Diceros bicornis minor: one gene and its partners. The protein of the gene in region 3 interacts with the protein of the main gene of each other region in a biochemical or structural test. Links are inferred from orthologs where the notes say so. Each region holds a gene or a part of one and is shown on either strand. Other genes may lie near its edges.

The links.
Region 1: of the proteins of H1-5 (region 3) and CCNB1, one has a biochemical effect on the other in vitro, tested with the Homo sapiens proteins (2 studies listed by BioGRID). The link is inferred for Diceros bicornis minor from reciprocal best matches to the Homo sapiens genes H1-5 and CCNB1.
Region 2: of the proteins of H1-5 (region 3) and PRKCD, one has a biochemical effect on the other in vitro, tested with the Homo sapiens proteins (2 studies listed by BioGRID). The link is inferred for Diceros bicornis minor from reciprocal best matches to the Homo sapiens genes H1-5 and PRKCD.

Annotation. Positions count from the first base shown.
Region 1 is NC_080759.1:8,347,817-8,358,282, forward strand, and holds the start of CCNB1 (G2/mitotic-specific cyclin-B1), read right to left. Parts: upstream 4,893-10,466; 5' UTR 4,781-4,892; coding exon 4,760-4,780; exon of another isoform or gene 4,721-4,759; intron 4,169-4,720; coding exon 3,998-4,168; intron 3,907-3,997; coding exon 3,748-3,906; intron 2,110-3,747; coding exon 1,927-2,109; intron 669-1,926; coding exon 510-668; intron 297-509; coding exon 60-296; intron 1-59. UniProt on the Homo sapiens protein: Essential for the control of the cell cycle at the G2/M (mitosis) transition.
Region 2 is NC_080741.1:53,719,769-53,730,161, forward strand, and holds the start of PRKCD (protein kinase C delta type), read left to right. Parts: upstream 1-5,501; 5' UTR 5,502-5,665; intron 5,666-10,393.
Region 3 is NC_080753.1:39,364,364-39,373,100, reverse strand, and holds H1-5 (histone H1.5), read right to left. Parts: upstream 2,587-8,737; 5' UTR 2,557-2,586; coding exon 1,876-2,556; 3' UTR 1,817-1,875; downstream 1-1,816. Other genes in the region: histone H2B type 1-O, read right to left, coding at 1-40; histone H2A type 1, read left to right, coding at 357-749; uncharacterized protein LOC131413346, read right to left, coding at 5,881-5,883, 6,104-6,542, 7,283-7,589. UniProt on the Homo sapiens protein: Histone H1 protein binds to linker DNA between nucleosomes forming the macromolecular structure known as the chromatin fiber. Histones H1 are necessary for the condensation of nucleosome chains into higher-order structured fibers.

The sequences.
Region 1 (10,466 bases), on a different chromosome or scaffold from region 3:
GTTTGGTTAGCAGTATTCCCTAATGTACCATTATCAAAGATTTCTCAAGAAATCTGTACCTCTCCAATCTTAGACGCTCTCCGAAGGAAATGCAAGGGTAGAGGGCGACCCAGACCAAAATTTAAAGCTCTTAGAATCTTCATTTCCATCTGTCTGATTTGGTGCTTAGTGTAAGTGTTGTCAGTCACAAAGGCAAAGTCACCAATTTCTGGAGGGTACATTTCTTCATATTTGCTTGCAATAAACATGGCAGTGACACCAACCAGCTGCAGCATCTTCTTAGGCACACAATTATTCTGCAATGGGAATTTCACCTTGATTAAGTAACACGTATTTGAAAAAGGAGACACAGAGCTATGAATGAGAGGTGGGAAAGACCTACTCCCATAACAAAATCTCAGTTAATGACACCCTCTCCACCAAGACAGATTTTAGCTGAAAACATCTGTTTCTTCTGACTATGCTAGGACCCTGGAAGGAAGAACCCTCAATTACTGAATTATGCTCACCTGCATGAACCGATCAATAATGGAAACAGTCATGTACATGGTCTCCTGCAGTAACCTGAATTTCATTTGAACCTGCACTAGCCAGTCAATTAGGATGGCTCTCATGTTTCCAGTGACTTCACGACCAAGTAGGTATTTTGGTCTGACTGCTTGCTCTTCCTGCAAAAAAAAAAAAAAAAAAAAAGCTGGATTATCCTTAGAAGCAAGACTCCACGTGACATTTCTGACCAAAAATATCAGTCACTACAGAATAGCTGTGGAGCATTTAGAATCTCTAATAGTTCTAAGCTTAATTATTCATATGGTCACTATAAACAGCTCTATCACTGAGGAAGAAAGCCAACATTAAATAGGAAAATGTGACAGGTTTTTCATATTGGCAAATCTATGTTCAATTAACCATCACTGCTACTGGCCCACACGCCGCACTCACTTCTTCCCAAATAAAGATGCCATACTATCATCTCAGATCTTTTCACTTAAGACTCTAAACCCAGAACCTGAGCTTTATGAAGTAGAGAAAATAGCAGCAGCTCCCAGATCAGCTGGAACCTAATGTGTTACCACTCTCCTGCTCCAGGGTTTAAACCCCAAAAACACCACAGATAGAGAAGAATGAACCATCAAGGACCAGCACATACATCTGCTAAGCCCACTCCTCCACAGTTAGAACACAAACTTTAAAAAGGGAGAAGAAACCCAAAGCAGGTCCTGGCAAAGAAGTCTTCTTGCAGGACAATCCTGTAGAAAATGGAGATCCCCAAAAGAACCAGGCAAGAAACTGAAGATGTTAATGATGCCAAGAGAAGAGAATGCATTATAAACCAACAATTGGGTCAATTTAGTAACTGTATAGCTCATGTTGTTAGCATACAGAATGCTTCCTTAGTTTTGGGGGGAAAGGGCAAATGCCACTAATAGAAAGTTTCAGAAGTGGGATGAAATGGAAGAAAATTCCTCTTGGACACAAACAACAATTTCCCTGATATGGCACACCCATCAGCCACATTCACTCAAAATGCCATGTGTTGGGGTTGGCTGTAATTTTTCAGCATCTTCTGCACTACCATCCACCTCCTGCCTGTTAGCCTTCTTAAACCCAATGTTTGGGACTTGCTGGCTCCTAACTGTGATGGATATAAATATATCCTTCAATCTGCGGACTTTCCATTACAAAGAGCCATAGTAGTATCTGCTCTCACTTGGAAATCTCCCTGTTCAAAATGGAAAATAAAGACTTCATTGGTCTGTTTAGCAACTTTTTATGTTTGGTATTCTATGAAGGAGATTTTGAAAGTGAAATCTACTGTTAAGAAATGCTGCTCACGTCATCCTTGAACTATTGTAAACTGTTAATGGAAATATCTTTAATAAAGCTAGGTGCACTTTAGAAAAAACAAAGACTAATAATACTGACCTCAAGTTGTCTCAGATAAGCATAGATATCTTTCACATATTCACTACAAAGGTTTGGATCGGCTCCATCTTCTGCATCCACATCATTCACTGCAAGAATTACATCAGAGAAAGCCTGACACAGATATTCTTCTGCAGGGGCACATCCAGATGTTTCCATTGGGCTTGGAGAGGGAGTATCAACCTTGAAACAGAGAGACCTTCTGAAATAATAGCAAGAGCATCCAATCTGGGCATGAAGGTCAGATTACTGGTACCAACTCAAGAGACCATCTGCTGAACAGACATGTAATTCATTTCCTTAATGGAAAAGGATCTTCTTTTCAAATGTATTCAATTTCTCTTTAGGAAGTGATTAATATGAAAACTGAAATGCCAACTTAGACTGAGCCAATTTGAAGAGAACAGAACCTAAACACTAACAGGTAAAACAGAGAAGCAAATTCATATTCTAGACTTTCCTCCAAAGGAAACTGATAAGTAGTTAATCTGTTTATCAGCAACATGTGAAGTTAATCCAAAGGAATGACAAGTCAGTCTTTAGACTTTCTGTGAAAACATGGACTGCTTCTCACTGCTCAGGAGAACATAAGTTCTACCAAGGATTAACTGACTTCATCACCATTAACCATTTTCTTCAAGCTCCAGTCACCCCATTGTTCAAACATTTATGGAACACTTTCTTCAAGTCAAGCTCTGTGCTAGGCACTGGCTTTATGGTGTCCTCAAGGGGCTTTGAATTTAGAAGAAATAAGTAAATGAAGTAAGGAGACTGATTCTAGGAACAAGGGTGGGGTTGGGGGAAGTTAGGGAGTTTCAGGAATTGATGCTTGAGCTGTTTTGCAGGATGCAAAGGTTATTAGCTAAAAGAGACAGAAGGTGGGAAAGGCATTTTTAATAAGTGGGAAAGCCAAGGCAAGAATCAGTATGGGACTTTCAAGGAAACCTCAGGTGGTTTGGTATGGCCAATTAAAGACTGCATGCTACAGGTTTCATGTGCTATGTCCAGAAGGTCAATACTAAAGCAATAGCCTCAAATCTCCTACCCTCAGATATAAGGAGCTAGGCTGAATGACTTTTACAGATATTTTCCCAAGAAGTTTTAACTAAGTTTTTAAAATTAGAGCTTCAGAATGTAGTTCACTGCAACTTCAGCAAAGTAGCCTCTTTTAGATGGTCTGATTTTCCTTCACAGGAGTAGATATATTTACATACCTGATAGTTAATAAAAAGTTCTTAGTTTTTGAGGCTACACATTAACTCATCTTCTTACCTGTTCTCTGAAGAGCTACACTTTCTTTCTGCTTTACATCTTTATATATTGCAATGTTACAGGCTTATTAATTATTCAGTGGTCATATTAGGGAGAAAAAAAGATTCAAGAGAATAATTTGTGTTTCAGTCAACAAATATTGGACAGTGATGGCTTGTACCAAAGACAGCAAAATCACTGGTCCAGGCAGCTACTACTCAATACCATTAACGAAGGAGGGGCAATAGAACAAAACGATTAAAAGCACAGGTTCTGAGGCCAGACAGCCAGGTTTTGAATCCAATATGTGCCACTGATTAGATGTGTGACCCTTGAAAAGATACTTAATACTTTTCTAAACCACTATCTAAAAAAAGTAGAGGTAATAATACTAGGTAAGAGAGTATAAGATTATGTCAATGCATGTAAGGCCCTTAGCAGAAACTACCTCCTGCTAAGCACTGGATAAATGTTACAATTTTTAGTATTTATTTAAATGCTATTCCATGCATTAGTAAAACGAGGGGCAACAAACAATCAACAGATTCTAAACTGGCACAATAAGTTTACCAAAATAGGCTCGGGAGAATGTTTTTCTTCTTTAACAGGCTCAGGTTCGGGTTCTGGCTCAGGCTCGGGCTCCGGCTCTGGCACAGGCACGGGCGCCTTTTCCAGTGGTTTTGGTAGTTTTTTAGCAATAACTTTTCCAGCAGTTAAAGTTTTTGCTTCCTGTGGATGAAAAGGAGAGAATGGAATGTTCCTCCATCAAGAGTCACAGTTAGAAGGTGGACTCAGGTAAGTTGAATCGGGAGATAGTTACCTTTTTCAGAGGCAGTCTGGCCTGCGGCTGCTCACTCACTTTGTTACCTATGTCTCCAAGAGCTGTTCTTGGCCTCAGCCCGGGCTTGGAGGCTGCAGCAGTTGCCACAGGCACGCGCTTTGCGCCTGCCATACTGACCTTCGCCTTGTTTTCAGTATTAATTTTCGTGTTCTGAAAGAAGCAAGAGCACTTTGAGAGCTGGCCCAGCCAGGTTAGAGTGAGTCAAGGGTTAATTAAGGTGGGACAAGAGAGAGGCTCTCGGAAGGAAAGGCGGCTGCAAATGGGTCCAAGGGAAACCGGGGTCCCAGGGTCTACGCTATGGCTGTGACAAGTTAGTTTCCTCCCAGAACTTCTTCTTTCACCCATCGAGGTTTAGTCCCCGCCGGCCCTAAAATACCACGAATTTACATCTGAAAGAAAACCGAAAAACCTTCAACTGCAGGCACCTTCGTTCCGGGAAGGGGGTTAAGCAATCGGTGGGAGCTCACTCAGGGGCCCTGGTTTCCCGTCAACCCTCCACTTGCCTCCCCAACATTTATCCAAGGCCCGTCCAGTTCTCTTTCTCACCTTCCTCTCTCTGTCCGTACGTCCCCCAAACTCCCCCACCATGCCAGAGGCCCACCGACCCCCCTCCACCTCCCCAGATCGCTGCCTGGGTCCGCTCCTGCCGAGGGCGGGGGGGAGCCTCCGGAAGGCGAGATAGGGCGAGGACACGCAGCGCACCAGTAAGGCCGCGTTTGTTCACCGTCCGCAGCAGCTCACCCTGGTGACCCGGAGCGCCATGGCTTCCTCTTCACCAGGCAGCAGCTCAGTGGGGAGAAGCAGAGCAACGGAGCCCCCGACGAGCCAGGAACCTGAACCCACCACCGACCAACAGCCGTTCCTGCGCAGCACGCCAGGAGGAGCCGGGCCGGCCTCAGGTTTAAACCCCGCGCCGCTCCCTCCTTATTGGGCTGTTCGCGGCACTCGCTCCCTTCCCATTGGCGGCTGCCGGTTCCTGCGAGAATGCGTTTCCATGGAGATCCCGCGAAGTGGTTCGAGAGGGGGCCGGGCCAGAGCGAGGCTGCGGCCCCGGGGAGCCTGGCCAGGCCCTCACGTGGCCTGGCTCTGCGCCTGCGCTCTCGCGCAGCTGCTGCTGGCACCTGGATAGGCGAGTGGTGCGCGTGTGGGCCTCCTGGAGAGGCAAGTTTGTGTGCCCCCCGAGCTAGCCAAGGGGACGGCCTTGTATCTCGGGAAAGTGACAGTGGAGCAGCCGCAGTTTGTGAAAGTGAGAACGTGTTATGGCTCTAGTCCTACTTATTGTTACACACTTTACTACAGAGGAAAGGCTTTTATATATGTACCTTCTTTCGTTTGATCATTCCAACACTCGGGTGGAGGAACTGAAGCTCGGAGAGGCTTTGGGTGGCTTTCCCAAGATCACACATTAGTAACACAGGGACCAAACTTAGGTTTGTTTTTTTTTTCCGGATCTGTGATATTTCCACAACACTAATTGTCTCAAGAATATTGTCAGGTTCTTAACCTGCCAGATTACTTCTCAAATTGTTTACCAAAGCCAATCTTTTTGTTTTAGCTTTTTATTTGAAAATAATTTCGAACTTAGACTTGGTGGTCAGGGATGGTCTGAGAAGGTGACATTTAAATTGAGGCTTAAATGACAAGGAGAACATTTCGGATAGAGGAAGGAGTCTGTGAAAACCCAATGATAGGAATGAGCTTGTCATGTTCAGAAAAGCCAGTGTGGCTTGAATATAGGGCAGAGGGGAGAGTAGAGATGAGATTAAAGAGATTGGAGAGGGTAATATTATATAAGTCCTTGTAGACCAAGCTAAGGGGTCTGGGGTATCATAAGTGCAGTGGAAGCCACGTTCAGGGTTTTAAGCCAAGGTGTGGCATAATCTGTTTTGCAAAAAGATTACCTTAGTCATTGTGGAGAGAATGTGTGTAGGTGGGGAGGTGGAGGGGAAGCAGGAGGAGAGAAGCAAGGGGAGCCATTAAGAGGCTATTGTGGGAGGCCAGGCAAAAGATGATGGCTTGGATGGTACTAGTAGTGCTAGACAGAAAGGGATGGGTTCTGGATATATTTTGGAGGTAGACTTGCTGGATCTTGATGGTTTGCATGCTTGGAGTGAGCGAAAAAGGAATCAAGGATGACTGAAGTTTTGGCTTGAGTAACAAACAGAGAAGACTAAGAGATGAGCAGCTTTTAGGGGGTAGCAGGTTTAGATAGGAAATGATAAATTCTGCTACTTTTGGAATGCTTAGAGATATGCAAGAGGAGAGGTTCACTAGGCAGAGGTCAGGGTGAGAGCTAAAGCCTCCTTTTGCTCTAGATAGTATTTAAACCCTCACACACATGAGGTCATCTAGAGAACTGTAAAGAAGAGTAGATGCCCAGGAGCAACCCCTGGGGCCCTTCATATGTAAAGATTGTACAGAGCAGGAGAAGCCAGTTAAGAAAATTGGGCAAGAACACCAGAGAGGTGGGAGACCAAATAGTGGTGTCTCAGAAAAGGGAAGGCAGTGTTTCACAGAGGGTATAGTGGTTTAACATGGCAGATTGAATATGCACATTTCTCTCTCTCTCTTTTTCCTGAAGACAGTAAAGGGATTTAAAAAAAAACTGCAAAACTCTCAAGGATGGGTGAGGAGACAATACCGACAACATTTTGGAGGCAGGAAAGCACATTGAAGAATCGTAATAGAAGTATCAGACAGCCCAAGAAAGTTGAAATCTAAGCTAGCGGTGGAAAGCCAGGAAGCAAGCTGGTTCATGCAATAGACTCCATCGAGTCTCAGGAATTGGAGGCACCAGGAACCTATGAAATTGGTGTCGGTGGAGCTGGAAAGAGGCTTAGTCGATTCCCTCCTGCACATCTGCGCACAGTGAAAGTGCAGCCTCTTCCTGGTCCTGGCAGATGACTGGAGGTTTATTTTATGTTCTGGAGAGGCCAAACGAAAAGAACTCTGGAGTTCAGATGAAGTAAAATTCTTCATACCAAATGGTGAAACCTCCAGTTCTCTTCGCCCACTCAGTCCCCTAAATGCAGGCAGCTGAATTTATATCCTCCTAAATGAGACAAGAGCATGCTTCTCTGTGGAATGGACCAGCCCAAGAGAAAAGTCTTAAAAATATTGATGGTTAGAGTGTCCAGTGAAAAGGCTGAGTCACTCTTAAAGTGATGCTCAGTACTTGACATGCTTACAGACTGACACAGAGCTTCTAATCAATATTTTAGTGTCTTACTCTTAACTATTAATAGCCATCTAGGGAGCACCAGACATTTGAGGAAATCCTCCAACTTGAAAGAAAAAGACCAAAACAAACAAACATAAAAAGAAACTCCAAGGTAACAGGCAATTCTAAAAGTAGAAAGCTAAGAAATAAAAATAAGTTACCATCTATATCATCAGAGAAATAAAAGATAAGAATGCATCCAGAAGCAAGTTTAACAAAGAGCTCTAGGAGGGGCTGACCCAGTGGCATAGTGGTTAAGTTCGGTGCCCTCCACTTTGGGGGCCTGGGTTCACGGGTTTGGATCCGGGGTGTGGACCTATGCCACTTGTCAAGCCATGCTGTGGAGGCGACCCACATACAAAATGGAGGAGGATTGGCAACAGATGTTAACTCAGGGTGGATGTTCCTCACCAAAAAAAAAAAAAAAAGAGCTTTAGGAAATTAAAAATATGATAGCAAAAATTAAAAATGCAATAGCAAGTTTGGAAGAGAAAGTCAAGGAAATTTCCCAGAAAAAAGGCGAAAAGATGGACTATAGAAAAGATAAGAAAATTAGAGGATCATCCTACAAGGTCTGGTATACAACTAATAGGAGTTCCAGAAAAAAAGACCAGAGAAAATGCAGGGAGGAGATTATTAAAGAAATAATATAAGAAAACTTCCCAGAAGTGAACAACATGAGTTTTCCGAACTGCGTCTGAGTGCCCTGCACAATAAGTGAACAAAAGACTCATCCCATGGCACACTGTGCTGGCATATGACATTAAGAATAATGGGAAGACCCTAAAAGGAAACAAAATCAGCATACAAAGGATCCAGAATCAGAAAGGAATTGGACTTTCAACAGCAATGTTGAAAGCTAGAAGATTCTGAGGGAAAATGATTTTCAGTTTATAATTCTGTACCAAGCCAAACCACGAAACAACCATGAGGTAGAATAAAGGCATTTTCAGATTTACAAAGTCTAAAAAATTATCTCCTGTGTACCCTTTCTTAGGAAGTTATTGGAGTGTGTAGTCTCCCAAAACAAGGATGAAAATGAAAAAAGAGGAAGATGTGGGATCTAAGAAACAGTAGTTCCAACACAGAAGAGGGGCAAAGGAAATTGTCAAGACTTGGATGATCCTAGGCTGGCACCTTTCAGTAGGCATAGAGAGCAGTCAGTGCACGCTGGAGATTGACAGGGATGGTTGGCTCTAAGTGGGACATCGCCAAGCGAAACAATGAAGTTGATAAATTACCTGATGTATTTGAGCGTACTGAGAAGAGATTTACACTTCTGGTAGAGTTGGAGATAAATTAGTGATAGGCATAAAAAAACTAGGCAAATGAAAATAAACAAGGCAGTATTAAATCTGGAGCAAACTAAAAGTTGTTAAAAGAAAAAAGGGAAATGTAATCACAATAGGGTACATAGGGCACTATGGTAAATCATACAGTCACAGTAATGGAAACACTGAATACTGATTTAACCAAAAATTATGATTCAACTGTATTGAGAGAGTGGGGAGAGAGAGGGATATATATGAGTGTACATGTGTGCTGGTGGTGGTATAAAAGAGCTAAACCCTCATCTTCCATTGTAAGAAGTTAGTGGGTAATTTTTAAAACTGTATAACCAAAAAATAGCAGTATAAGGACATTATTGAGAATTATGACTGTAAACAGTGAATCACACAGTTAAAAGAATAGAAAATGGTTCCTTTTGGACAGCAGGAATGGGCTGCTGATCAGAGGTGTGCTGATTTTGTTATAAGATTTAAAGAACTAACTTAAAACTATGCACATATGTAACTGAAAAAAATGAAGTTAAAGATGGGGAGTGGTTGATTGTGTTGACTGAAAATCAGGGACATTCACACTAAAATGGAGATAGAAACAGGAGTTGAAAAAGAAGACCCAGGATATAGAGAAACATCGTGAAATAACTTCTTCAATCATATACACTGACTGTCCCATTTGTAGAGCTGGTATATACTTTAACCTCTTACCTCTGTTCCTTGAATTGTTGATGGTAGCTTTGCTGTTTTTTTTTTTTAGGTTTTAGATGCTACATCTAACAGTCAAGGAGGTTATACCATAAAGAGTAAGTCCTCCTCCACAACCAAAAATGTATTGAAGAGTTCTTGGGTATCCTTGAAGAACGTTCTATGTACACGTAAGAGTACATAGATTTCAAAAGAATCTTTAAATCTTTTTTTTGGTGTGTGAGGAAGATCAGCCCTGAGCTAACATCCTTGCCAATCCTCCTCTTTTTGCTGAGGAAGATTGGCCCTGAGGCCGAAATCCATGCCCATCGTCCTCTACTTTATATGGGACGTGGCCTCAGCATGGCCTGACAAGCGGTGCATTGGTGCGCACCCCGGATCCGAACCCGGGCCGCCAGCAGCGGAGTGTGCGCACTTAACTGCTATGCCAAGGGGCTGGCCCTTAAATCTTTTTTTTTTAAATTGTGAATAAATCAAGTTTATTCAATCAATAAATACTTTTTGAGCTTTAACTATGTTTTACACACTGTGCCTAGGGTTACCTGCTTTTAAGGTGCTCACATTCTTACAGATATGAAGATAAATTATTACAATATGATAACATTAGACAGAGTTCCTTCTCCCATCAGCCCTTTATTTTCTTCCCTTTTTCATCTCTTATGGGCAGGGTGACTTTGGTTAAGAGGACAAAGAACTTCATTAGCATCATAACTATTATAAGGACTTTTTGTTGCAGGTGATAAGAACCCAACTCCAACTGGATTACGTAACAAAGGAAATTTATTTGCTCCCAAAACTGACAAGTCCAAGGAGTACCTAGCTTGAGGCATGGTTGGCTCCAGGTATCAAGCAAAGGAGACTGTCTCTCCATCTCTTGCTGTGCTTTCTTCCTTTTGAAATTTAAGAATCTTTAAATCTTTAGAGGTGTATGTGTGTGGGCGTTGGGACATGCAAATTGGTTTACAGAGGTAAGAGTGTTAAAGAATTAGTACTTGAGAAGATAGTGAAAAACTGTTATATTTAGAATGTGGTCTGTATGTATTTAAATTTTTCTTGAATTGGCTCTCATGCAAAAACGTCTCCTCAGCACTGAGGCTCTATTTATTGTGATTAATTATAGCAGTCTAGCAAGGGGAACTTGGTTACAAAGCCTCATTTTAGTCCTCAAAGGACTTTCAGTTTGCAAAGTTAAGTGATGGCATGAAGATGGAGGCAGATAAAAGGGAAAGAAGAAGAGGAA
Region 2 (10,393 bases), on a different chromosome or scaffold from region 3:
AAAATACAGTGACAGTGTGGGGGTAAGTCTATCTGGGGAGATGAAATTATCCGTGCAATTATGGGAGCTTTCTACTTTCCTCTGTAAATTTGTCTTTATTTTCCTTATTTGCTGTGTTTTTCATCACAACACCCAATGTGTGTCATTACTGTTCTAGGTTTCTGTGACTCTCCCTTCCCATCCCTGATCCAGCCCCCTGTCCTCACGGTCTTCTCAGAGGTTCCCAGATGGGGGGCAGGCTGCGGTACCTTGGATGACTCCCACACCAAAGAACTCAGTAGAGCCATCCATGAAATGGGCGTGCTCAAGTCTCCCTGACTTTTCTGGACACAACCAGCAGCAGGGAAGGGCGAAGAGGAGAAGGCACCACTTGGCCCCCAGGCGGAACCAGCAGCGCATCTGCACCGTCCAGACAGCTTCCCGACACGGGAATAGAGCCGGGTCTCTTATAGCCGGGCTTGCGTCACGTGGCTGCGCGGGCGCCTCCGCTCCCGGCTCAGAAAGGTTTCCCTGGGGCGGGGCGGGGCCACACGCCCCTCGGTACCGGAACGCCGGAGACGTGCCTGCGGGGGCGTGTGCGCGAGGCCGCCGTGGGCGGGGCGGGGCGCGGCGCGGCGCGTCTGCCGGGGTGGGGAGCGGGGCGTGTGTGCGGCACGGTGGACTGTGGTGTGCCTGCTGTCCTTCGTACCCTCCTCACCTCGAGGTGCTGCCCTCCAGCTCGGGGTCGCCCCTTCCGCCCCTTCCCCCTGTTTCCCACGGGCCAAGCTGCGCTCGGTGAGCTGCCCGCTGCGGAGGGAGACTGAGGCATGGGCAGGCGAGAGGGCTGGTGAGGCCCGCGGCTCTCCCTGCCCTCTGGGTGACTGAGACTCTCGGACTCCCCCAGGTGTCAGAGCCTGTGTGAGACCTGGCAGATCAGAGCAGAGGGGGTGCTCTTGCGTGTGGGGGATTAGGGAGGGGGAGGTAGTGATGGGAGGGGCTCCCCTGGGTGTCTGTGCCAGGAGATAGCTGTCGCTCTGTGCCTGCCTCTGACAACACCAACGCCCTCCCCTCCACACCCCTTTAGAGGGCAGTAGGGTCGAGGAGCCGGAAGAGGAGATTCAGATGAGGGGGTTGCGCGGTGGTCAGTGTAGGATGGGGGCAGTCCAGGGGCTGCATACCCCTGTGAGAACCCCAGGAAAGCCTTGCTCTCTGCACTCCCAGAAAGCACCTTCTCCTGTCTACCCCAAGTATTTCTCAGGTTTCACCCAAACACAAATATATTGAGGATAGAACTTTGGGACTATTAGCCCAGCCTCATCAACTCTGTGTGGCAGTTAACATCAACATAGATTGAGCTTTGCTCCTAGTACTTCACATACATGATCTCTTCCATCCTCTCAACCACCTACCAGACCAATGTTACTGTTATTGTCTCCATTCCACAGATGAGAAAGCTGAGGCACAGTTAAGTCACAGGTCCAGGGCACAGCCTGGGTGTGAACCTGGCCCCTCCAGCCCTACGTCACACTTTCCTACCATGTGGCACTGCCCCCAACGCCACTGCCCTCACTTACGCACTACCCAGTGCTGGAGGCTGAAATCCCTGCTCAGGACCACGTTGGTGGCCTGAGGCGTGCCTGCGGGTTTGGACCATATCCCAAATGCCCTTCTTACCTACACTATCCCCAACAGGACCCTCCCAAGCTCTGCCATACCCAGCAGTTGCCCAGGCGCACCATCCCTGCTGGCTTGGGCCTCCTGCTCCAGAAACATGAGCCCACTCTCCCTTGGCCAGGCCAGGGCTCTGGGTGTGATGGGCTGACACTGGCAGCCAAAGCTTCAGGGCCATGGATGGTGATACAGAGAAGCAAAAACAGAGAGGGAGCCAGAGGCAGAGAGGCCAGGACAAGGACCAACTCTCAGCAGGGATCAAGTAGGTGACCCGATCCTGCCCTCAGCTGGACAGGCCCCAGGGACAGAAGAAGGTCCAGGCCTTTTCCAGGTTGCTTGGCTGAGTGCTGGACTTCCTCTGGAGAGGTCTTGGGGCCCCCAGCTTTCATGGCCTCTGAGTAGGGTAGGAGCTGCAGGGGTCAGGCTGGCCCTCCTCTAGACAAACCCTCCAGGGAGCCCACAGAGGAACAGCCCTGGGTGGATGCTGAGAGTAGGAGTCTGGACACTGCCCAGTGCTACCCCTGATGGGCCCATTTCCTTGACTGCAAACCTGGAGGAGGAAGAAGGGAAAGTATCGCTTCTGCATGGCTGCTATAGGCTCAGCCCTGATTGGGGATTTATACCCCATGTCACAAAATGCCATTGAAGGTTTTTCCAAGGCTGACAGCCTGTGACTCTGCAAACGACCATACCCCTACCCCCTGGCCAGAGTGAGCTGAGCCCTCACCAGGTGTCCATGCTGGCTGAGGCTCCACGCACATCATCTCACCTAACCCTTACTCAATCCCCAGCATGGGTCTGTCATCAGCCCCTTTCACTCGTAAGGACTCAGGATCAGGGAGGTGTGGTTACCTGCCCAGGGTGATACAGTTAGCATGTGACACAGCCAAGGCTTGCTCCCAGGCTTCAGCAGGCCCTTCTAAGGTCAGTGCCAGGCAGGTTGTGGGAGCACAGAGGCAAGCTTATCTGGATCCTGCCCTGGCCCACCCAGGAGCAGTTCCAGCATGCAGAGTGGCTCTAGCTGAGCTTGGCCTGTACTCCCTGGACCCCACACAAGCCTATTCTGCCTGGAACCCCCGTCGCAGGGCCTGTCTCTGGAGGGAACCCCACTCACATCCCTCCTCTGCTCTTGCCACAGTGTGGCCTGCACAGCCTCAGCCCCTCTGCTCCTCTCTGAGTGTATCATGCTTCACCTTGGAGTCTCCAGAGGCAAAAGATTGGCTGAGGCCAATATGTGCTTGCAGCCTCTGAGCTCCTGAGCCTGCATAATCCTGAGGGCCGGAAAGTGCTTCCTGGTGTCTAACTTAAATCCTTCTTGCTCCTGCAACACCAGCCCTGCTCTAAAGCAGTGGTTTTCTGCAAGGGGTGATTTTGCCCCAAAGGGAACATTTGGCTGTGTCTGGAGACATTTTTATCTGTCACAACTTGAGGGAGGGGAGTGCTACTGGCATCTAGTGGGTAGAGGCCAAGGATGCTGCTAAACATCCGACAATACACAGGACAGCCCCCACAACAAAGAATGATCTGGCCCAAAGGTCAGTAGTGCTGAGATTGAGAAGTCCTGTTGTAAAACATGGGCTTTGGAGCCAGGCAGACCTCAGTTTGTATCCTGCCTCTGCCATTTACTAATTGTGTACCCTTGGGCAAGTGGCTTCACCTACCTTTGAGACTCAGTTTGCTCATCACCAAAAGTGGCACAAATAGTGGTCCTCACCTTACAGGGTCTTGAGGAATTATCAGATTGCACACTTCCAGTACCCAGCACAGGGCCTGGCACTGGGGAAACTCCCTCAGTGATAGCCATTATCCTTCTTTTCCACTTTTCAAGGTGAACCTCAGGGTGTGGGAGCCAAGTTCTAGTGACTGGACTTGGAGCTCCCCAAGGGTCAGCCCCCACTTACCCTCCCTCCAGCGGCCTCTGGCACAGCGTGGGCCTATTGTTGATGTTAAGGGAGAGGTTAGGTTGGCTACTGTGGACCTGGATGGAGGAATCAGAAAGGAAACTTGATCTCAGGTGGGCAAAGGTCACTTGAAGCTCACTTTGCTCACCCTTTCCTCCAGCCTAGCCCCAGGGAAGCCATGGTGTGGGGGTAGGGGTGGGACTAGGACACAAAACACACTAACGAATATAGTCCATTAGCTCAGAGAAATGCCATGGATTTCCAGCTGGGCATCAGGAAGGAGTAGCATTTGAGTGGACACAACCAAGACAGGTAGAGATGTGGGGGTGGGTGGGAAATGGCATTCAGGTCCAGGGAACAGCATGTTCAAAAGTCTGGTTGTGAGGAGTAAGGTCTAAGGCCTATTTCCCAAATGATAGTCCAGTGTGGCAAGAGGGCTCCAGCTTGGTGGAAAGAGCCTGCCCCATTGGGGTAGGGGACAGGCGTCAAGGCTGGGAATCTGGACATTAACCAGTTTTCAAACTAGGTCCTCCTTCCTGAGTGTAGGGTACCTGTGGTGGGAAGAATGATTATAGCTTTTCTCTTTCCAGCCCAGACACCCACCCCTCCTCACACTTGAAAAAGAATTTCAGGATCCACATCTCTGCCAGAGCTCTCCATCCATAGAGGTCTCACTGGACACCCCCTCCCACACACACACTGCAGCCCTATAACATACCTGGTCTGGGCCCTTCTCCCCGCCCATCTCCCACAACCCAGGGTCCTCCCTTCTGAACAATGTGGCACCCCTCTGCCCCCATCCACCCCCTCCCTTCTGCAGCCCCTCTGCCTCATCCATTCCCCCAGGAGCCCACTCTGTTGTAACAGTGGCCACCACCTGCTCCTTGAGAAGACCAAAGTCTTAGCCATGGCCTGTCTCTGCCATGGGCCCCTTGATCAACTCAGGCCTCCTCAGGGGTTGGTCCCCCATTTCCATCCCTTAGGCCTCAGCTGGGAAGAGCTGTCAGACTCTCCCCATCCCCTCTAGGTGGCCCCCCAGGAGGCCTGGGACCTGGAACCCCCTTCTTTGCCTCTGGAAAGTGACATTTCTTTGGAGTATGGAGCCATCGGCTTGGCTTTCTGAGCTTTGGGGGCAAGGGAGTGGACTCCCTGGGCCCCACTCCATCCCTAGACCTTAGGCCCAGAGGATACCCAGAAAATGAATGAATGAATGAATGAGTTATGTCTGACAACCAACTTCCAAGTCTGGAAAGGACGCCCAGGTGCCAGCCAGGGGCGATGGGGAACTCTGGAAAGTGGGGGCAGGACAGCGGAAGACTGGGGGATCCGGGTAGGGGCTGCTCCCAGAATCTCCTGACCAGCAGCGGCGGACCAGCGAGAACCTCCCGCCCTGGAGTCTTCCCAGCTCGTCTTCGGGGCAGGGGCGGGACCAGCCGGCCTGGCGGCAGGCACCGAGCCCGGCCAAGTCCGCATTCCAGCCAACAGGAAGAGAGAGAGCGAGGCCGGGCAAGGCAGACCAGCTGGCCGGTGGGGAGTCCCGGGCGTGGGCGTTGGAAGCTGGGGAACCCCCGCCAACACCTCCCTGGCCTCCGTGTGCGAGGAGTGGGGTGGGAGAGCGCCCCCCGCCGGGCCTCAGCGTCCTCCTCTGTAAAATGGGGCCCCTTCTGAGGGCTGGTGCGCGCGCTAATGGCGGGCGGGGGGCGAGATCTGCAGGGAAGGGCAGAGGCCCCGACCCTGAGTGACCCGAAACAGTGAAGCGGGGACACTGGACCCCCCGCTCCTGGCTGGTGGAGGAGGGGCCTTGGGGGGGCGGGCCCTCGTGGGGGCGGGTGCTGAGCGGGGAGGGGCCAGCCCGGCACCTGGGCGAGGTCCCGCCGCCCCGCCCCCTTGCACTTCCGTGTGCAGCGGCGCGGGAGCGGGAGGCGGCGGCGCCGGGATCCCCGAGCGACCCCCGGCATCCGCCCGCCGCGCCGAGGCCCGGGCGCACTTCACCGGCCGCCGGGCCCGTCCCGGTCGGGCCCGCACCGACCCCCGTCCGCGCGCGCGCCCCGGAACCGCGCCCGGAGCCGGACCCCAGCCGCCGCGACCACTGGCGCCTGGCCCTGCGCCGGGAGGTGAGTGAGAGCCGGGCCCGGACGTGAGATCGGGGCTACCCCGAGGGCGCGCCGCCCCCCCTTCCTCCTCTGCTCCGGTTCCCGTTTCCGAAACTGAGAAACTGAGTCGCGGCCAGCGAAAGTCCTACCGCGCGCCGAGACCCGCCGGTGCCTCCGTGCCCCTATTCGTCCGTCTGTCCCTCGGTTCAACGGTAGGGGCAGTGGCCCTCTCATCCGTCTGCTCCTGGCCCCTCTACCCGCCTGTGTGTCCTCAGCTCCTCCGAGGGTCCGCCCATCCCTCCAAATCTCTGGGCCCCTCTATCCGTCCATCTGTCCCCACCCCGTCTATGTTCCCCCGTCGCCTCTCCCTAGTCCCGATCTGTCTGTCCTTCGCCCTCCACGAGCCCGTCGCTCCACCCCCACCTCACGTCCCGCCGCCCCCTAGATCCTGTCCTCTCGGAGCCGCGCCCGGCCCACGCTCGCCGCCCCCTGCCTGTCCCGCCGCGTCTCCTTTTCTACCGCCGGGCCGAGGCCAGGCCGCCCGCCTGGCCTCACCTCCCGCCCCTGGGTCCCTGCCCGGCCCAGCCCGCGCGGCGCCGCCTCCTCGCTGGATCTCTTCTTTCAGTCTCGGTGTCTCTCTCGGTCTTTCTCTCCATCAGTCTCCGGGCTGGGCGTGGCTCCAGTCTCTACACTCCCTCTCCCGCCCCACCCCTACGCTCCTGTGAGCCCCCTCCCCTGGTGGCCCCTTCCTGGTCCCCTCTGTCCCTGGCCTCTCCGCAGTCCAGACGCCCCCCCCCCATGGGGGCCCAGCCAGGGGGACGGAAGGAGTGGAGGAGAACTGGGTGAAGAGGCAGGAGGTGGGCAACGTCGGAATTGCTGCGCTTCCCTAACTGCCTGCCCCATTTGGCCTTGTCAGGGAGGGGAGAGCGGCACTGAGACCCCTTTTCCTGTGGCCCCTACCTTGTGTGCATGGACGCTGTCTCCTTGTGCTGAGTCGCCGTATCTGGGCGTGTAGACATGTTGTGTCTCTGTCTCCTTGTGTGTTCTTTGTCACTGTGTCTGGGACTTGCCCCTGTGTGCCCTTTTTCACATGTGTGACTTGCCCGTGTGTATGTTCGTATGTCTGTCTGGGCGTCCTGAGGCTCTGTGTGCCCTTTACAATTATGTGTGTACTATGTCTTGCTGTGTTCTTTTGTCACCAGACTCCCCTCAATGTATCAGGGTGTGTGTATAAGTGTGTGTGTTTGGAAGATCCTCTGTTGCACACTGAGTATGTAATGGTGACCCACTGGCTGTGAGTACATTCAAGCTGTTAACTGTGGGACCTCGTGGTGTTAGGGTGCCAGCCCACCAGGCTCGTGTGTGTGTGTCTGTATGAGTGTGTGTATGTGTGTGCACTCACATGTTCTTCCTCTCCTGCTGCCACTGAACTGCTGTGACCAGGCTGACCTGGTCACTGAGGGAGAGGACTAGTCCCTTGGGTTTCCTCGTTCCTGCTGTGGACTGAGCTGGGGTGTGGTGGACAGGCCGGCAGAGGGCAGCTGTGTTGTGTGTGTGTGTGTGTGTTGTGGAGGTGTTTGGACAGCGGTACCTAGTTGTAGGTACAGGATTTGGTGTGTGATGGACTGTGGCTGGGGAGTGGATGACTGATGGGAGACTCACGGTCTGACTGTATGAAACTGCCGGTGTGTTCAGGGGAGTAACTGTGATTGTGGGAACCGAGAGTGCTTGTGCGTGGGTGTCAGTACAAGGAGGGGATGCAACAAGGTATGTGGTGCCTGTGCCCTGGGGTGCTGGGAGGGAAGGTGAGAGCCTCAGTGTGTGTGTGAGCGCTTGGGAGGCTGTGAGGGTATGGGTGTGCACTCAGCACACTCAAGCCCAGCCCTGGCTCCTGGGGAGACAGGGAGGCTTCCATCTCTCACGTTCCTCTTCTCCCCCAAATTGATAGACACTGGAGGGCAAGTCTTGGGGTTTGTAGCATTGTGACCAAGACCTGGGGCTCTGGACCCAGGAAAGACTTGGGCTCAAATACTTGCTCTGCCTATCGAGAGTAAGAGACCGGAGCGAGGCCTCTTTAAGGCTGTTCCTTTATCTGTAGAATGGAGAAAGTTGTTGTGAGGACTAGAGGTCCTATGTTGAAAGTCCTTTAGCACAGCGTTGGTCCAATGAGAGCTCAGCACATGCTAAGTCTTATTTGGTGACCACTCACCACCCCCCTCAACAGTGTAGTCCCGATTCTCCTGGGAGCTAGGGCTAATAAAAGCCCAGATAGTCCCCAACCCAATTTCCTGCCTGCGATGTCTCTTGCTCCCTCCCGTCCCCTTGACCAGACTGCTTGTAGGAGGGAAGATGGCTGACAGAGACCCCACCAACATCCAGCCCTGTTCAGCGCACATGACAACCCCCCACCCAGTCTCAGCAGCAGTGATGGGGGAGAGAGTCTTGAGGGGTGATTGATTTGGAGCTGTGACTGCGGACTGCAGGGCCCTGACACCGTTTAGCTGGCACAGCTAATTGGAGTTTAAATTAAAATTAGAGATAATTTAAAATACAGACAAAAAGATAAAGCCTGAGGGTGCCTCAGCTCCCAGGGAACGGTGATGGGGGTCTTCAGCTGGAGGAGGGGCTCACGTCTGGGGAGGGGACTCTTGTGGAGGCCTGGCCTGACCTGCAGAAAAAGTGCTCAGGCCTTTTAGCCAGGAGACCTGGGGCACCTTGCTGCCTTTGGTGCCCTTCCTTCCTTCCAGGATCTCTCTGGGCCTCAGTTTTTTCAGCTATATAATGGGTACATCTAGTAATGTGAGAATCACCTCAAATAGACGGTGCAAAACAAGGAACAAAAAAAAGTGTTTCTATTCATTTGGCACTCCCAATGTGAGGTCAGCACAGGAGCTGGCATGCCACATCATTGGAGCCTTGGAACCACCTGGGGAGATGTATTCTCCCCATTTTATTTATTTTTATTTTTGTTTGTTTGTTTATTTTGAGGAAGATTGGCCATGTGCTAACATCTGTTACCAATCTTCCTCTTTTTCCTTTTTCTTTTTTTCTCCCCAAAGCCCCAGTACATAGTTGTGTATCATAGTTGTAGAGTTGTAGCTCTTCTATATGGGATGTTGCCTCAGCATGGCTTGATGAATGGTGAGTAGGTCCGTGCCCAGGATCTGAACCTGTGAACCCTGGGCTGCCGAAGCAGAACGCATGAACTTAACTGCTACGCCACCGGGCTGGCCCCGTCCCCATTTTAAAGATGAGACAAACTGAGGCTCACAGGAGTTGCCCAGGCCACAAAGTGGTGGTACCCAGTTGTACTATAGGTCTCTCAAGCCCACAGGGCATTCTCCTGGAGACAGGAGGATTAGGAACAGCTTTCTTGCTGTGTCTGCAGTCCTCCCCACCAACCTGGAAAGAGGAGGAGGGCTGAGACACAATATTGCAACCCCTAGCATGGAGTGGACACATAGCCAGTGCCTGGAAAAGTTAGGCCCAACACCTCGTTTCACAGAAGAGAAAGCGAGTCCAAAGAGGCAAAGGTGTCAGAACCAGAAGAGGCTGAGCCGGGCCTGTGTCGGCCGTGCTGGGGCTCACTGATGGGGAAAGCCTGTTTGGTGGCGCCTCTCGGCTCAGCTCTTTTCTCTTGTTCCTGCAGGTCTGCCGGGAACTGGCCCAGATGAGGGTGGCAGGCCTACTTATCCTCATGGGTGTTGCGTGGTAGTGGTGGCAGCAGGAGCCAGAACTAAGGAGAAGACTGGGTCCTCTTAGACAGATGGACGGATGGACAATGTACAGGGGTGGCCTTCCTCTTTGGGCTCTTCCTTTTCTGTCCTGGGTCTGGGTCGAGTCGGGGGGACATGCAGAGTCTTTGGTCTGCGTATGGTGCCTGGGCATCCAGAGGGGGCAGCAGTTTGTCCTCTGAGAGCTCCCTGCCTGGAACTGGCTTCTGGCCTAGGGAAGGCTTTGGCCTTGGAGCTCCAAGGTCTGGGGCCCACAGTGGTTTGGGGCGAGGAGTGGTGACACTTTGCTGGTCAGTTAGAGAGAAGGTGGTGTGTGAGCCAAGAGTTGAGGGTGGATGTATCAGCTTTTCTGCAGCCCCTTGTCTCTGCCTCAAGCTGTCCTCATCATCACACAGGGAAACTGAGGTTTGCCCTGGGCCCCACAGTGGGTTGGACACTGAGCTGGGAATGGAACGAGGTCTCCCAGCTCCTGGCATGACTGAGCTCTCTTCCACACCCCCTTTTCTCCAGCCTCTCTGGGGCTAGAGCAGGGACTCTAAATCCCCTCCCCAGCCCCCAGATTCGGTGAGCTGGGCAGAGTCTCTAGGGAACACTGGGAAAAGCTGCAGTCTCTGCGACCCCTTGTAAAGCTAGAAATCCCTTCCTTTGGGACCAGCCTTGCCTCCTTCAGTCCCCGTTGCAATGAAGACAGCCCTGTGTGTTACCCATTGCATGTCTAGAGCCCAGTGAGCAGAATTCTGGGGGAAGAGGGGGTGGGGTGCTGAGGGCACCTGGAACCTACGGAGTGACAGTGGGGAGGGGCGGCAAAGGTGGTCTTTCCTCCAGGAGTCCTCCTTCATCAAACCCCGACTCCCATTCCTGCTGGCTGTCGGGCATCTACAGGTCTAGGAGGTGAATAGACCAATGGGGCCTGGGCTCCCTGAGCCTACCTCAGGGCAAGGTGGGCAGGAGGTCAGGGCTCTCGCTCCTGGGGTGGGAGTAGGGGCTGAAGAAGGGTAGGCTTTTCACTGTCCAT
Region 3 (8,737 bases):
CCTTCTTCGGGGCCGGAGCAGACTTGGCCGGGTCCGGCATGACGAAGATCAACTGCCAAAGACACTGAAAAGTAAGGAAGAATGAGTGTGGGGTCGTAGGTATCCCCGTTTATTTACAGTTTCTTATGCAAATAAGATGATTAATAAAATCATGTCTGATTGGTGGTGAATTTTGAATGACGTCATACAGTGCCCAATCAAAATAACCGTATTTCAAAACCACTATTCCATTGGTTTAAGTGTGACTTTAATTTTAGCCAATGACACGGCTTCCTTTTCGCGCTCAGTAACGACTATAAGCTGTCCAGCTCTGGCTGATTTCAGATCTTACTCTCTCTGGTCATTATCTTCCAGTTATGTCTGGACGAGGCAAGCAGGGCGGCAAGGCTCGCGCCAAGGCCAAGACCCGCTCTTCGCGGGCCGGGCTGCAGTTCCCCGTGGGCCGCGTGCACCGCCTGCTCCGCAAGGGCAACTATGCCGAGCGGGTGGGGGCCGGCGCGCCGGTGTACCTGGCGGCGGTGCTGGAGTACCTGACGGCCGAGATCCTGGAGCTGGCGGGCAACGCGGCCCGCGACAACAAGAAGACGCGCATCATCCCGCGCCACCTGCAGCTGGCCATCCGCAACGACGAGGAGCTCAACAAGCTGCTGGGCAAAGTCACCATCGCGCAGGGCGGCGTCCTGCCCAACATCCAGGCTGTGCTGCTGCCCAAGAAGACCGAGAGCCATCACAAGGCCAAGGGCAAGTAAGCCCTCAATATCAACTTCTTCCAACCCAAAGGCTCTTTTCAGAGCCACCTACTATTTCCGTGGAAGAGCTTGGACAATAGTTTCACTTAATCTCGTCACTGTCGACTGAGAAAAGGAAACAGTTTCATTTAGAACGAATCTGGCAAGCAGTTTTAGGAAGTGATTTTTCAGGTTCAGATTTTAAATGCCATATTAACATTCTTGGATCTCTCCTAGTCATGTCCCTGGGGTGTCAAGAAAAAGTCAGGAGCTTTAGTGGGCATATAAAAGTACAGTATCAGTTACTGAAATGAGTAAACGTTGCTAAAATGGCCCCTGAAGACAATACATCCTTTCTGAGCTAATTTCTGTCAACTTTGTCTCACCCAATGTTATACTGTATTTGGAGGTTTTGCCTTATCTTGATTTCTGCAATAGATTTTGAGAGTCAAGTAAAAATATGACCATAAGCAGTAAGTCATGTTTTGTTGAGCTTGCTATTTGTGTGAACTTCATATTACTTTAGTCTATGTAAATATACTTTTAAAATCTTAAATGAATGACACCACGCATGTACGATCCTGAACTTGCTCCTCTTCTCTTCTGGTTAGGTCTGTGGCTTGTGAATGCTGCCTATACTGCCAATCGATCAAATAAAGTAGTGTACTAACTGGCATGTAGGTGGCGCGTGAACCGGAATTAAACTTCCCGTCGAGCGAGTAAAAAGAATTGACCAATCGGAACGTGCGCGGGCTTTTTAAAATTCTAACCCCTTCCTTGTCGTAAGTAAGCAACCAGAATCAAAAGCTCCGAAAAGCCGATGCTGAGCCATCTATTCAAGATACGATTCCCCGGAGTTTTTTTACAGGGTGGTGGCACACGTAGGGGCCCTTAACTCCCCTTGCTTTAGTAAGCTTTGCTGAGTATGACATTAACTGTAACTTGACGGTTTCGCTTTAAAGTTTTAAACAGAAAAGCTGAAAACGTAAACAAGACTTTAGTAAATATACTGTTGCACGGCTCTCATGGAGGTTGGTCGGGAAGGCAACAATGATGGTAAGTTATTCAGTGCACAGCCATTTTCGGAGATCTCTGGGTGGCTCTGAAAAGAGCCTTTGGGGTTCTGTCGTTTTTAAACGCCGACTACCTACTTCTTTTTGGGAGCTGCCTTCTTCGCCTTCGCAGCTTTGGGCTTTGCTGCCTTGGGCTTGGTGGCTTTGGGTTTGGCCGCCTTCGGCTTCACTGCCTTGGGCTTGGCGGGGCTCTTGGCAGCCTTCTTCGGCTTGGCGGCAGCTTTGGCCTTCTTGGGACTCTTGGCCACTTTTTTGACGCCAGCGGCCGCGGGCTTCTTGGCCTTCTTGGGAGTCTTCTTCACGGCTTTCTTCGCTCCCGCAGTCTTCTTGGGCTTTTTAGGAGTGGCCCCTGCAGGCTTCTTGCCTTTGGCTGCCCCCGCCTTCTTAGCCTTGGGCTTAGCTTCACCAGAAGCCGCTTTTTTGTTGAGCTTAAAGGACCCCGAAGCACCGGTACCCTTGGTCTGCACCAGAGTGCCCTTGCTCACCAGGCTCCTGAGACCCAACTTGATGCGGCTGTTGTTCTTCTCAACGTCGTAGCCACCAGCCGCGAGCGCCTTCTTGAGTGCAGCCAAAGACAGGCCATTGCGTTCTTTAGAAGCAGCCACAGCCTTAGTGATCAGCTCAGAGACTGGGGGCCCGGTAGCCTTGCGCTTAGCCGCGCCACCGCTCCCGGACTTCTTGGTTGCCTTCTTCTTGGCAGGAGACTTCTCCACTGGCGCCGGGGCAGCCGTCTCAGCAGGAGCGGTTTCCGACATAGTGATGAAAGTACCTACTAAAGAAAGAGAAACTCAAAATGCAAAGAGCAAGGTTTGCAATGCTGTCTTGCTGGGGCCCGGGGCTTATATAAGCCGGTGCTGCCCTCTGATTGGTGGAGCGTCCAATCCACCTCCCTCGGGCAGCCGCCTCTCCCGGTTGGACTCTCAAATTGTGTTTGTTAGTCCCCAAAATTTGATTAAATGCTGAAAACAATAGTACAGAATTTGACGCTTTGATGCTCCAAGAGAGGAAAACAGCCTTCGGGTTTACGTATTTGTTTGTGTTTTCATAAATCACGCACAATTGATGAAAGATATATTTAAAAATCCCTTAGGCTTTTCATATGAATCCACCCGGCTTAAATCATCCTGCTACTTAGTTGCATGTTGCAATAAATTTTTACTAAGTATCAAGTTAACGTTTTTTAAAAAGATTTGTTCCTAAATTCAGCCTTTGATTTTTGCAGGAGGAAAGACACTAGGTTCCTTGGTTTGGACATAAACTTTGTTTCAAACTGTAGCAAGTAACACAGGCGTAGGGTGGCTGGTTGCCTACAGCCCCAAATTAAGCACATGGACCTTACTTTAAAAACCGGTTCTGCCTCCTAGGAGTTTCCACATGCCAATGCCTTTAGAGAATGGTATTTTGCAGCTTGGAAAAGTTCAATTGCCAGAGTGACTTCTTCCACCTTGCTCCAAGAGGAATAGAAATTGCTTTGGCTTCAGGATCCGTCGACTTGGATTCAAATTCAAACTTAAATTTGGTACATTTTTTATTGAGATGCTTTCTCTCTTTGATTCCTAAGTGAACCCATTAAAATAAGGACGGAAAATGCTTAGCCCAGATAATGTCCTTTAGAAAAATCTCTGAAACCTGCTTCCAGTAGCCCTCAGGAGCACAAACTGTTTAGATGAATGGGACTTGGTCAGGTTTTCGAGGTGCTCTTCCCAATGCTCTCACTCAAACTCCTTACCTCCATCAACATTTACCAAATTGCATCCTCAGGAATACCCTCTTTTGTAAGCAGCCAGAAGACATCAATGTGGGTATTTTTTGTGTGTTTAAGTGAAGATAGACGTGTATTTTAGAAAAATAATTGGCTACTTGACTATAAGAAGGGTAGATTGGGTATTGAGGGACAGGAGGTTATAGAGGTTCTGAAGAATTCAGGAAAATATTAACATCCAAAGGAGTTCAGGCAATGACCATGAGTTGGAATGGAGAGTGAGGTTTGCTATTTATTTGAGGGTGGGGTGGAGAATGGACAGGATTTTGTGCCTGGATGGTAAGAGATCAGGTAATGGTTATGATCTCTAATGCAGTCAACAGTCAATGCTTCCCTGTGAAAAACTGTGTTAGCCAACACACTTCATCTTCTCTCCAGGAGCTCTTGGATTTGAAAATTCAGTCAACTATGGCCAAATCTGGACAATGACTTGTTTTTGTATGGCCCTCAGGCTAAGAGTGGTTTTTATATTTTAAAATTGTGTTAGGGGCCGGCCCCGTGGCTTACCCTTTAAGCGCACCCACTCCGCTACTGGCAGCCCGGTTCGGATCCTGGGCGCGCACCGACGCACCGCTTGTGCCGCCATGCTGGGCCGCGTCCCACATACAGCAACTAGAAGGATGTGCGACTATGACATAGAACTATCTACTGGGGCTTTGGGGGAAAAAATAAAAAAATAAAATAAAAAATTAAAATTGTGTTAGAAAAGAAAAATGCGATGAAGACCATATGTCTCCTGCAAAACCTAAATAAACTATTTACTAACTCTCTGGCCCTTTTGCTGTGTTTTGAACTCCTCCACATAGACGCAGTTCATGGTATATTGCTACAAGCTTGCCTCTTTCAGAACAATGCAAATCGAGAACTAAAAGAAAAGATTTTAACAGGAAAATGTTCTGAACAAGCATTTCCACTGTTTTTATCACAAAACTTTCAGAAGATCCAGAGGAAAAAACCTTCCATGTTTAAGCAGCAGGAGAGGGTGATAACTTTAAGAGCTAATATTCATTGAGCATTTACTAAGTACCAGGAACTAATCTAAGATACTCTACAGGTTTTAATTTGTCACATCATACAGCTGGACAAGCTGAGTCCCAGAAAGAGGATGAGTAATTTACCAAAAATTATACAGCTAGTACTTGGCAGCTCTGAGTTTGAACCTAGACCACTTGGCTTCATCTCCATTATGATGGGGAGATCCTGGAAGGGGTGCAGAGAGAGAATAATCTTTGAAGTTTGGAAGAGGCAGCATCAAATCGTCCTTACACCTAGCAGGAAGCCAAAAAAGGAGCGCTAAATTAATCTGTAGGGAGAGGCTTCTGGCTCCATGGATCAGAACCGTTTTTGCTGAATCAATTCCAAAAAGCTTTAGAAGGAGCCAGTGATGAAATATAAGCCTCTCTGGAAGGGCAAATACAAAAATAGGGGAAAGAAAGGAAGGCTCAGATGGCTGACCTGCCTTCGAACACTCAGGAGAAAAATTGCCTTCACTTAACTCCGCTAGCTCCTGGAGTTAGGATGTGTACCCAAAAGCGTAAACAGAAAAATAAGGCAATGATAGTCGTACATGAGGAGACTTTTTAAAAAGCTGAAAACATTGGACAACATTAATAAGGAGTCAAGTTTGGAAACAAGGAACAACTTCAAAATGACATCTCACCTTTAATTTCCAGTCTGATTCTCTATTTGGAAAAACAAAACAAAACATGAACATCCAATTTATAGACTGACAGGCAGATTTTGAAAATACTTGAGCAAATTTTTTTTTAGATTTTTACAGCTATTGGGAGCTCATTTTACAGATGACAGCCTGCAAGTCAAAGTGTCCAGGCCTTTGTGGGCCCACTGTTTTCCACACATAATCACATACATGCAAAGCCCCTAACATATGCCTTTGTTAAACATTACAAAAGAGCAACAGAAAAGCTAGCAAGTTTCTAAACACTCATGACGATACTTGTTCTATTCCTTCGTGTCACAGGAAAGCAAATTAAGAGGCATATTTCTTAGGTCATCCCAGGAATCCTTGGCAAAATTAAGCTGTATTTGCCATTTGCACAACTATCCACAGTAATTTGAACTAAACTTTTCTAAGGCATAAGCCAGTCTTGCTTCGGTTACTACATGTAGCCAAGGGTGTTTCTGAAATGCTTGTATCATTTTAAGAATGCCTATCCAGAAACAGCTCCTCACTGCGCAGAGTACAAGCAAGGTGTTCCCGTGGAATCAAGTTGTTGGGTTTACAGAATACACAGTCACCTCTCCAGCCTGTAGACCAATCTCCCAACTGAGCCCACAATAACTATTTCGTCGAAACGCTCTGCACTCTTTTCATATAGTGCTACCATATATTCTGTAGAACAGCTCCCTTTTGGTGACAACGGAGGGGCTCTGAAAAGAGCCTTTTGGGGTAGAGTTCCCTTTGGGGTAGAGTATGTCAGGTGGAACACTAGCAAGTTTAAGCTCTTTCCCCGCGGATGCGGCGCGCGAGTTGGATGTCCTTGGGCATGATGGTGACGCGCTTGGCGTGGATGGCGCACAGGTTGGTGTCCTCGAAGAGCCCCACCAGGTAGGCCTCGCACGCCTCCTGCAGCGCCATCACGGCCGAGCTCTGGAAGCGCAGGTCGGTCTTGAAGTCCTGCGCGATCTCGCGCACCAGGCGCTGGAAGGGCAGCTTGCGGATCAGCAGCTCGGTGGACTTCTGGTAGCGGCGGATCTCGCGCAGCGCCACCGTGCCGGGCCGGTAGCGGTGGGGCTTCTTCACGCCGCCGGTGGCCGGCGCGCTCTTGCGGGCCGCCTTGGTAGCCAGCTGCTTGCGGGGCGCCTTGCCGCCGGTGGACTTGCGAGCTGTCTGCTTGGTGCGAGCCATAGCTAAGCAGAGCCAACTACTTAACACTAATGAGAGCAAGAAGCAGTCGTCCCAGTATTTATAACGACCCTCGCGTTCTGATTCGACAGCAGACTGCTGCCCCGCCCCGCCTCGCCCTCAGAATTGGCTCTTGGTTTAATTCGCTAAGGAAAGGAAGTGTTTTCCCGCCTCTCCTTCAGTTTTTAAGATAATGTACAGAGAAAATGTCTTACTGGCTTTTTAAAAAGCCTCTAGGATGCATCAAAATTCTCAAGAAAATGTTGTCTTCAGAATGCGAAAGTACCTTGCACTATTTTAAGTAAAAGGCTTCATGATTGCATCCTTGGCAAAAAATCTTTACTGAATAACATGAAAGGGAACCGAGAATACGTTAAATGTTAAGTACTGAAGCGGGGTTTGAAATTCTAGCCACTATGGGCTATGCCAGTGTTCTCAAACTTCACCGTGCTTAGGAATCAACGAGCTCGTTAAAACAAAGGTCAGCCAACTCTTTAAAGGTCAGTTTACTGTCTTTGCCATTGTAGTGCGAATGCAGTAGACAGTAAATAGATGAGTCCGACTTTCAATCTTTGTTGTAACAGGTAGCGCCTATTTAATAATGGCCGGATGATCTGCCATTTTACTAGGTGATGGAGATGCTGATGGGGGGGAGGCGGCTACCAAAGCAGCTAGGAATGTTTTAGGGACCTTACTGTTCAAGATGCTACATTTCCCAAAAAACTAATCTGACGCTTGCAGCTGCTTAGCATACAGTGCTACTGAAAGATGCCTACAGCTCTTTAACAGATTTTGTGGGTGGCCCTGAGAAGGACCTTTGAGTGATGGAATAACGTATTAAGACAAATCTAGCCGCCGAAACCGTAGAGGGTGCGGCCCTGGCGCTTGAGCGCGTAGACCACGTCCATGGCGGTGACCGTCTTGCGCTTGGCGTGCTCGGTGTAGGTGACGGCGTCCCGGATCACGTTCTCCAGGAAGACCTTGAGCACCCCGCGGGTCTCCTCGTAGATGAGGCCGGAGATGCGCTTGACGCCGCCACGCCGGGCCAGGCGCCGAATGGCGGGCTTGGTGATGCCCTGGATGTTGTCGCGCAGGACCTTGCGGTGGCGCTTGGCGCCGCCTTTGCCCAGACCCTTCCCGCCTTTGCCACGGCCAGACATGCCTGCGACTCGAGCAGATGCAATCCGCCAACCCTCCGCGGCAGTGGTTTATATAGTGTTGTGTCGGACCTGTTTGAGAACTGCGCTTGCCAGCTGTATCCGCCCAGTGGAGTCACAGACCCGAAGCCCTGCCCACGTTTTCGCGAAAAATGGAAAGGGCGGTGCTTAAACTCTGGTCTAAAATCACGCCTAACTAAAAATGCCTCAGTCCTACTTCTCCTCCCACAGTGTTTTGCGTCTCCCACCGCTGAAAGCCGTTCCTTTGTCTGGGTCAGGCTTTGCTGTCTGTTTTTTTTTTTCTGTCACCTCTTAGAATCGATCGCACTAGCGCCTTGTGGCTGGTGGACGCGAATCGCCCATTTCGAGCTGTGATTACAGTCATTTGGGGGCATTTGTGAAACCTTCTCGTACATAAAGTGCCTTCGGGTAGTCTCAATTTAATCAGCCTGAGAAGCGGCTGACTGCAGTTAACGCCGCCAGATTATAGACAGCTTCGAGGTGGGGTTCCTCACCTTTCTCAACTTGGGTTTTCTCCTCTTTTCCTTACCTTTTACTCATCCTATCGGCTACCTTTCCCTTCCCTCCCTCGCTGGCACATTTTTGGGGGAGAACTGGCTTTTTCAAATTTCCTTCATCAGGCTTGGAAACTTTAGGAAGTCGTTTGAGGAAGAAGGTCAGCTTTACTCGCCATTTCCTTGGCGAGTCGATGAGCCGGTGAAAACGCCTTTCAGCGCCCCCTCCTCTTCCCCCTTCCCTCCTTTGTTGGACTGGGAAATCAACACCAGAAACCCTGTGCCTTTCATTTACAACTAAAGTGCAGAATGTAGAGACCAGGAAGGACTCTATTCCAGGAAAAGAAACTCTGAAAGACGGAGTGACAGACGGTTTCCATGACTCCAGCTGTTTGGAATGACCTCCTTCTGGCCCTGGCTTGTCCCAGGTATCAGATTCCGTTTCTTCCGGGAAACTTGGACAGCCTTCTCCCACCCACATCCACCTTTCTCTTTTCCCGAGCGTCAGTAATGTTTACCCTTTCTATTTCAAATTGTGTGATTGATTATTTACTCCTTGAACAAATGTCTAATTTTATTCTAGGAATCAGTTTCCAAGTTCTTTATAAACTCCTCTATGGTTACTGTAGGTGCAAA